2 linked regions of the Elephas maximus indicus genome follow. The protein of the gene in region 1 interacts with the protein of each later gene in a pairwise test. Links are inferred from orthologs where the notes say so. Each region holds a gene or a part of one and is shown in the gene's direction. Other genes may lie near its edges.

The links.
Region 2: the proteins of ZNF277 (region 1) and GNGT1 interact in a two-hybrid assay, tested with the Homo sapiens proteins (3 studies listed by BioGRID and IntAct). The two-hybrid records come from large-scale screens. The link is inferred for Elephas maximus indicus from reciprocal best matches to the Homo sapiens genes ZNF277 and GNGT1.

What each region holds. Positions count from the first base shown.
Region 1 is NC_064826.1:37,506,714-37,510,629, reverse strand, and holds the start of ZNF277 (zinc finger protein 277), read left to right. Parts: upstream 1-1,175; 5' UTR 1,176-1,221; coding exon 1,222-1,312; intron 1,313-3,916. Other genes in the region: DOCK4 (dedicator of cytokinesis protein 4), read right to left, coding at 588-624. UniProt on the Homo sapiens protein: Probable transcription factor. Involved in modulation of cellular senescence; represses transcription of the tumor suppressor gene INK4A/ARF, perhaps acting via the Polycomb group (PcG) complex PRC1.
Region 2 is NC_064826.1:63,850,153-63,854,068, forward strand, and holds the start of GNGT1 (guanine nucleotide-binding protein G(T) subunit gamma-T1), read left to right. Parts: upstream 1-1,081; 5' UTR 1,082-1,157; intron 1,158-1,248; 5' UTR 1,249-1,258; coding exon 1,259-1,354; intron 1,355-3,916. UniProt on the Homo sapiens protein: Guanine nucleotide-binding proteins (G proteins) are involved as a modulator or transducer in various transmembrane signaling systems.

The sequences.
Region 1 (3,916 bases):
CCAAAACACACCCCATAAAATCCGGGTGGGAGGCAAGACTGAGGCTCGGACCGGGTTCGGTCTGTCAGCAGCTCTTTGAGGACTGTGCCACATTCGGCAATCTGGGAATGTTGACGCGAGCCTGAGGGACGGTTGTGCGCCTCCCTTCTATTTGGGGTTGTTCTCTCCGCCCGGTTATTGTCGTCTCCCTCCCCACCCTGGGAAATCTCTGCAGCCCACTGCCGTCTCCCCGCCGCTTTGGGGAAGAAGGAGAGGAGTGCCGTTCGCCCTCCTTCCAACTTGACACGCACACGCCCCGCCGCCACTCCAAACTCCGCAGACAGAGCCGGGAGCCGGCGGGTGGCCGCGCGCTCCCAGCCGTCCCGGCGCTCCGGGAGAGGTGCGGAGCTCGCCGGGCGGACGGGCGGACGGACGGCCGGACGAGGCACCCCTGCCCGGGGCTGGCTCGACAAACCCTGGACCTGCTGCGCGATGCCAAGACTAAGCATTTCCAGCCGCGCGGCGCAAGAGCGGCGCGGGGACAAGGACGCGAAATGCGCACCCGCTTGAGCCAGAGAGGGATAAAAGTTGGCCCCGCGGAGACTCACCCACGCCGTATTTCTCGTGCTCCGTAGGTATCCACATGGCTAAAGGGGCTCCGGGGTCTTCAGGCTTTGTACTCCCCTCGCCCCGTCTCCTGCTCACAACAATGCACCGCACCCGGGTAGCGGCTGCAGCGCTAGAGCCCGTCGGCTCCGCGCGGGTGGCGGGCGCTGGGCAGGGTCTGCGCTGGAGGCTCCCGAGCCAGGCGTTGACACCGCGCCGCTGAGTCTGCGCCGCCCGCCGCGCTCCCGGCAGCGGCTGCTCACAGTCGTCGGACGCGTTCTCCAGAACCCGGCGGCGCAGTCATTGTTCTGATTCACTGAACTAAGGGAACACGCCGGGGCACTCTCGGGCTCACCCCGCCCGCCAGCGCCTTGTCCAGCCCGCCCATCCTCGCGCCCCGAGGCACGCTGGGAATTGTAGTCCTCGGGCTCCATCCCGGAAAGGGGCGTGGCTTGGGTAGCTAGGGGCGGGAATTAGGTTCCTCTCGCCGCGTCCTATTGGCTCAGAGCGTGACGGCGCCGCTTGGGCGCGGAGGTAAGGCTGCGTTAATGGCGAGTTCGCCTTCGGCTGCGTTTCCATTGGTCCCCGCATGCCCCTCCCCGGGCCGTAGGCCTCCCGTTTCTTCTCGGCTGGGTAATGGCTGCTCCCGAGACCCAGGGGGCTGCTGCCGGAGGGGAGGAGGGCGGCAATGGCAGCCACAGCGGAGTCGAGGATGTTGGTTTTCAGGGTGAGTTTGGTGCCCCTGGGGTGTGACTGGTTTTTATTCCTTTCCCCCTAACCGGGAGTGCAGCCGTTCGCTGGTCCGACCCCGGGGCCCACCGGCTCCGAGGCCACCTGGGCGCTAGGGGGCCCGGCGAGAGTGGCAGTGCTGGGGCGGCGGGGGGACGGAGGAAAGGGGATGGGTTGGCCTTCTGCACAGCCAGGGAAGTTTTCCGGACTTCAGTCTTCCTGTTCGGAGCTCCCCGCTTTGCGTTGTCTCTTGAATGGTTGTGGTCAGGTCAGGCTCACGTGTGTGTGATTATAGCCCTGAGATTAGCAGCTCCTTTTCCTTTTTTTCCTTGCCAGTATCCCGCCTTCGCCTTGGTTTGGCCTTGGGAGGTGTGTTTGATTTGAGTTTGGGTGGGTTTCCAGTAGCCGACTGGTGGCTCTGCTCGCCGCTCTGCAGTTTTGTCCCGCTGCTGGCTATAGCGGCCTCAGAAGGGAAAGTGTGTGTCTCAGGCTCTCTCCTCCGCCCATTGACTGTTTTCCAGAATTGACTGTGGAGCCTGGGACATCTTCCCAGGCTAGATCCTTAGAGGAGGAGGAAAGGAAGTGGTAATTTGTGCTCTTGGCTTCAGAGAAAATTTGAAAAGGGTTATGAAAATCATCACAGGTACTTTTCTGTATCTGATATTCACATTATACTCTGAGCCATTTGTCACTGTGGAGATCCAACACCAAACTTTGAAACCTGCACTTGGATTGTCTTTTTACCTGTAGTCTGTCGCCGCCCCCCTCCGTTTTTGCCATTAGTATATGTGTCATTTAGCACAAGTTGTCTTTTTCTGATGGACAAAGTTGGGGGCTTAAATCTGGTTTTCAGTTCCTGTTGAGGTTTCTTTGTTCGTCTCTTCGTTTTTGCTTTCTGGTTACACTGACAATTAGCCTTAAATTTTATTTCCCGCACCACAGAGAATTAAGTGCAATTTCTCCCCTCTTCCCATCAGTGGGACTCTTTAGCTCTGAAATAATTTTTTTTCAATAACTCCATCAAAGATGTAAATCTTCGATAAGACACCTGAGTTAAATATTGAATTATATCCATATCCTAGACAATTATTGAGTTCTTTGGTACCCATTTCTGTTAGCCATGTATTTGTTATCCCATAGTAACAAAATGAACTATTAAGATTTTCAAGATTCTGGAAGTTCTGGCGGGCTAGTAGTTTAAGATCTAGAAATAAAGTCTGATGAATTTATCTCACAGATTTACTCATAAAAAAGAAAATTGGATATGCCTTTCAGAAACATTGTAGAACATTTTTTAAAGCATTGATTATTTTAAAAGTATAAAAGTTTTCATTATAAACATTTCAAACCTTTCAGAGGTATGTAAAGTAAAAACTCAAAGTTTCTCCACCACATAGTCCCACTCCCCAAATAACAAGTGTTAAAGGTTTGATGTGTATCCTTTCTGACATACTTCTCTATGACATGCATTTGTCTGGTTTGATTTTTTTTTTTTTTTAATAAAAAGGGATCATCCTCTGTAAGTTTAAGGATCTCCAACCTTCCCCTTTTTCTCAATAATCTATCATAAACGCTCTTTCATATTAATACCATTGCTGTTACATTCTTTTTAAGGACTGCACCCATTGTATTCCATGATACGAATGTGCCCTACTTTAACCATTCCTCTATTAACAATCATATAGGTTGACTTTGATTTTTCAAAGACGTTGCAGTGAACAGCTCTATACATATCCTTGCCTAGTGAGTGTGTGTTTCTTGAGGAGGAATTGCCGAGTCAGAGGTGATGCACATTTAAAATTTTGATAGATGCTAGATTTTCCTCTTAAGAGGTATCAGTATACATTCCCACCAGTAGTGTACAAGAGTGCCCTCTTCCCCATAGCCTCACCAACTGTGAGGATATTATGAATTCAGAACCAGTGCTTAAATGGCTATCAGATTGAATTGAATAACTGATAGAAAAAACTTAACTTTAAATTCCAGTTTGTTTCAACAAAATTATTTGAGCAAGAGAGAATTTGGAGTATCTGACATAAAAGATAAAGGCCTCTGCCTGGATCAGAACTTCTCCATATTGACACTGACTTGTAGCAACCAGCGGAAAGCTTGCTAATTGATGGGGTTGCCGTGAGTCAGAATCAACTCCATAGCAGCTGGTTCTTAAAACGTAAAGTTGTAATTTGAAATCCCCCTTAATAACCTATTTATCATTCTATGACTTTATGGAAATTCTTTTCAGAGCTCGCAAAGTATGATAAATTTTAGATGGTAATAATTATATTAAAAGCATGTACGTACATATGTATACGTATAAGAGAGTTAGGAAGCTGCTTAGGTTATCAAGTCCAGTGTCTTTCCCTGTAAAATCATACCTTTTTAATTTCTTGAGAACTGTCTTTTTAAGAGGTTTTCCTCTATTCCTAATTAAAATGTCAATCCGTGTGTTTAATATCCGGTGGCAGAGGAGACTAGGGAGCCTTTTTTATATAAATCCTTGGAATTCTCCAAGATCTCTGCTAGAATGAGCCCCTGGGCAGTGGGCAGGCAGGTGCAGCACCTTCGCCAAGACCACTGTGTTGCCCACTTCCTGAGGCTCCAT
Region 2 (3,916 bases), about 26 Mb from region 1:
AGAATTCTCTAATCTTCTGAGACTACACTTCCACTAAATAAAGTGAGTTTTAATTTTAAATATTATTAAACATTGTGAATCTCAGCATTTCCGAACTGAGAAAACATTTGTTATAAGGTAGGGTTAGGTAACATGTCTTGGTTTCTAAGCCTGGGTTAATATTTATGACATAGGTGAAGTGTCTTTATCAATACTTCCTGATTCTCTTCTATATACCAAATAATATGTAGAATGATAGGCAATGCTAAGGGTGTAAAAGTTGTGAAACATGTGGCCTTTTTTGTAAAACCTCTTACAATCCACTTCGTCTTAAGTTGGGCTCCCGAGAAGCAGAGGCTAAGACAGGAATTCTTGTGCAAGTGACTTATTAAGGGAGAGCTCTCACTATGTCGCCTTTAACCTGCTACATTTGTCATTGTTATTATCCAATTCATTGTGATAAAAAACCAAAAATACAAAAACCGTTGCCTTTGAGTTGATTCCAGCTCATAGTGACCCTATAGGACAGGGTAGAGCTACCCCATAGGGTTTCCAAGGAGCCCTTGGGGGGTTCAAACTGCCAACCTTTTAGTTAGCAGCCATAGCTCTTAACCACTACACCACTAGTGTTACAGAAAATTTCCAGGTATTGTTTGTAGAAACACTTCTAAGCAATACATTAGTTTATTTCCTATTATCAAAGTTCTTTACTATATTTCTATTCTCGTTTCACATTTCAATCCATTATTTGTAATGAACTTATAATGATACTTTTTATATGGTTCCCTGTTAATACCAGGTTAAATACTTTAGGGATTTAGGGGATTAATAGGCAGTCCTCAAAATGACCTCAAAATAATTGAACTGGCATAAATTATATGATGGAGGGCTTTGGGGTTAGAGATGAAGGTTAGAGACCCAAATTTTTACACTGTGCTGAAGACCAGGCCAAAGAGGAATTTTGGGTATTTAAGATTGTGTACTGACTAAACTGACCCCTCCCCACAAACCTACTGGCAGGTGTTCAGGATCAAATGCTTGGTTTAATCATATTATTAAAGATTAAAAAGACACTTTAAATTCCCCAGGCTAGTGTGCAGTGCTAGGATTGTTCAGAGAGCGTTCATGAGAAATCGATTATATCATAGGAATTTAAAAACAGAGAAACAGTTTACTTAGTAAGTCAAGAGATAAGGGAAGGGTTGGCTGATATTGACTCAAAGTAAGCCCAGCAATTCAGAAATATGCGTTAACATTCCACCTTTTTAGCAGGTGAAAGATGCCAGTGATCAATATCGAGGACCTGACGGAAAAGGACAAATTGCAGATGGAAGTTGATCAGCTCAAGAAAGAAGTAACACTGGAAAGAATGCTGGTAAGGTGCTGATATCTTTTGAATTTTATTTTAAATTAGAGAGACTGTGGGAGTCCCAGGTTAGATAACAGTAAATTGAGAGGTTCAACGTAGGGAAAATAAATTGTTCAGGCAAAAGTTCATTTGGATTAAGAAAATTAAGAATCAGAATGATCTCAATTTAGACTCTAAATCAAGTGGTCAGCAAACCATTACCCTCAGGCCAAATCCAGCTCTTAGCTTGTGTTTGCTTGACTACTTAGTTAAGTAAGAATGGTTTTACATTTTTAAAGATGTGCTAAAAAATGGAATAAACAAAAGACTATGAGGCAAAGACCATATTTTAGCTAAGCAATAAAATAAAGCAAAGCATTTAGGCATTCTGTTTTTACTTTTCTATATTTATCAGCTTCTCTTTATTTAATGCAATACTTTGATAATGTTCAAATACTTTTACCTATGCCCTCATCCTCCCCAGCATTGTCATGGCCAGTAATGAATGAGTACATCCTATTCTTCCTTTGAACATAAACAGCACTCCCTGGTTCCTCCTAAAAACATCTGACGACCTTGGAAACGGTTACCAACAGTTCTCTGCTGTTTAGAGGGAGCAGAGACTGCAAAGAAATGAAAATTTCCACCAGACAAATAGTGACTGGAGCTTGGAAAATGTAGATAAGTGCTTTGGGTCTCTTCATTTTAAGAAAGTGGAAAAAGGTTCCTCGGTAAGTGATAAAGTCATGTTTCATAACTTTAAAAAATAGCCTCACTTTATCAGGTCAAAATGAAAAAAGGAGTTCGTGTTATCTCTAGACTTTGTTCAAAACTCTTACTCCCAATCATAATTGGGATTTCTGGCTTTCTTTAAGTTTATAATTGTCTCAAACTTCCCTTCTATCCTTTCTATTTAGACTGAGGCAAAAACATGTTTTGCTGTAAAGATAAAAAATAAATCTGTAAACAGCACAAGAGCCGAGAACACGCATACACCAAAAAAAGTTAAAGTCCTCATCAGATGAAAAAAAAAGCCTTTTAGAGTAAAAACGACAAACAAAATCCGCTGCCTGTTCACTCGATTAGCAACCCTATAGGACAAAGCAGAACTGCCCCATAGAGTTTCCAAGGAGCGCCTGGTGGATTTTAACTTCCAGCCTTTTGGTTAGCAGACATAGCTCTTATCTGCTGTGCCACCAGGGTTTCCTTTTAAAGAAGAGTTGTTTTTATCTTCTTTTCTTGAAACATTGAGAAGTTGTTTTATTATTTATACACTCAGGATTGTTGTTTTTCAGGCAGTTTGGTTGTTGTCTTGTTTATTTTAACTTGCGGTAAGTCTACCTCGGAATTTTTCTTTTGGGCAAACATCACATCACCATCTGTCAGGCTGTTGGGTTCCTTTTCTCCATTACTCAGCTGCTACCTGGCTTTTGGAAATCCAACTAATTTTAATATTGGACTACAAAAGCTATAATTAAGGAAACTGAGTTACGTAATCAATGTATATTGAGCTCTGACTAAAGGCTCAAAGTGAGATAAATGTAAGAGGGCCCCAAAGCTACAGGTAAGAAATGTTACAGTTCATTCCAAAGTCAAATAGACATTGTCCGATACTCAACTACATGTCTTAGGAGTCTAAGGAGAGTACCACTGCTCCCAACTATAACATGAGAATGTGAATAATGATTGACTCTGGGGAAGAAAAAGGCAGACAATCCAAATGGCTTTATGCCAACATTGAATGGAAGCAGAGTGACAGGGTGGAAGCACACAGCTCATCCCAGGGTGTTCTCCAGTGTGTGACTGCCAGCAAGTGACCTCACATTTCAGTGGGATAGCAATTTAGCCTCTGTTTCTGGCATATAGGTAAGGCCAAAACAGCCAGCATCTGGAACAGTTTGGGAGGAAAGGAGTGAATCTAAAGTACTGCACATCTCAAAGTGTGGATAAACCTGAAAGTTTCATAATAAGAAGGATCCACATGACCAATGTTTCCTTGGCCTACAAAAAAAAAAACAACACACAAACCTATTGCCCTTGCGTCAATTCCAACTCATAGCAACCCTAAAGGACAGAGTAGAACTGTCCCCAAGGCTGTAAATCTTTACGGAAACAGACTACCACATCTTTCTCTGGTGGTGCGGTTTATGGGTTCAACCACCAACCTTTGGGTTAGCAGCCCAGTACTTTAACCACCAGGTCTCCTTGATGAGTGAAGAGAAGCTCATAAACAAATTAAAAAGCTCGGTTCAGATATTTATTTATTAAGAACCACCTACATGCAGGCTCTGATCCAGAGGCCAGGGATAAATCAGCCAAAGGCCCCCGATTCCTTAGAGCTGAACTTGTAACATTAGCTCATTGTCATGGTCAATCATTTTACAGGAATTTAAAATAAAATTGCATATGCACACTTTTTAGAATCCAGGAGTGGTAATAAGCCTGAAGAAAAGCTTGCACATATAATCTAGAAAAAGAAAATGGATTTCAGAAGATATTTGCTGGAGCTGACCCTTTGAGAAATTATGTAAATTCTCTCATGCTCAGTTTCGTCATCTATAAAATTAGTCTAGTAATAATGTATTTGAA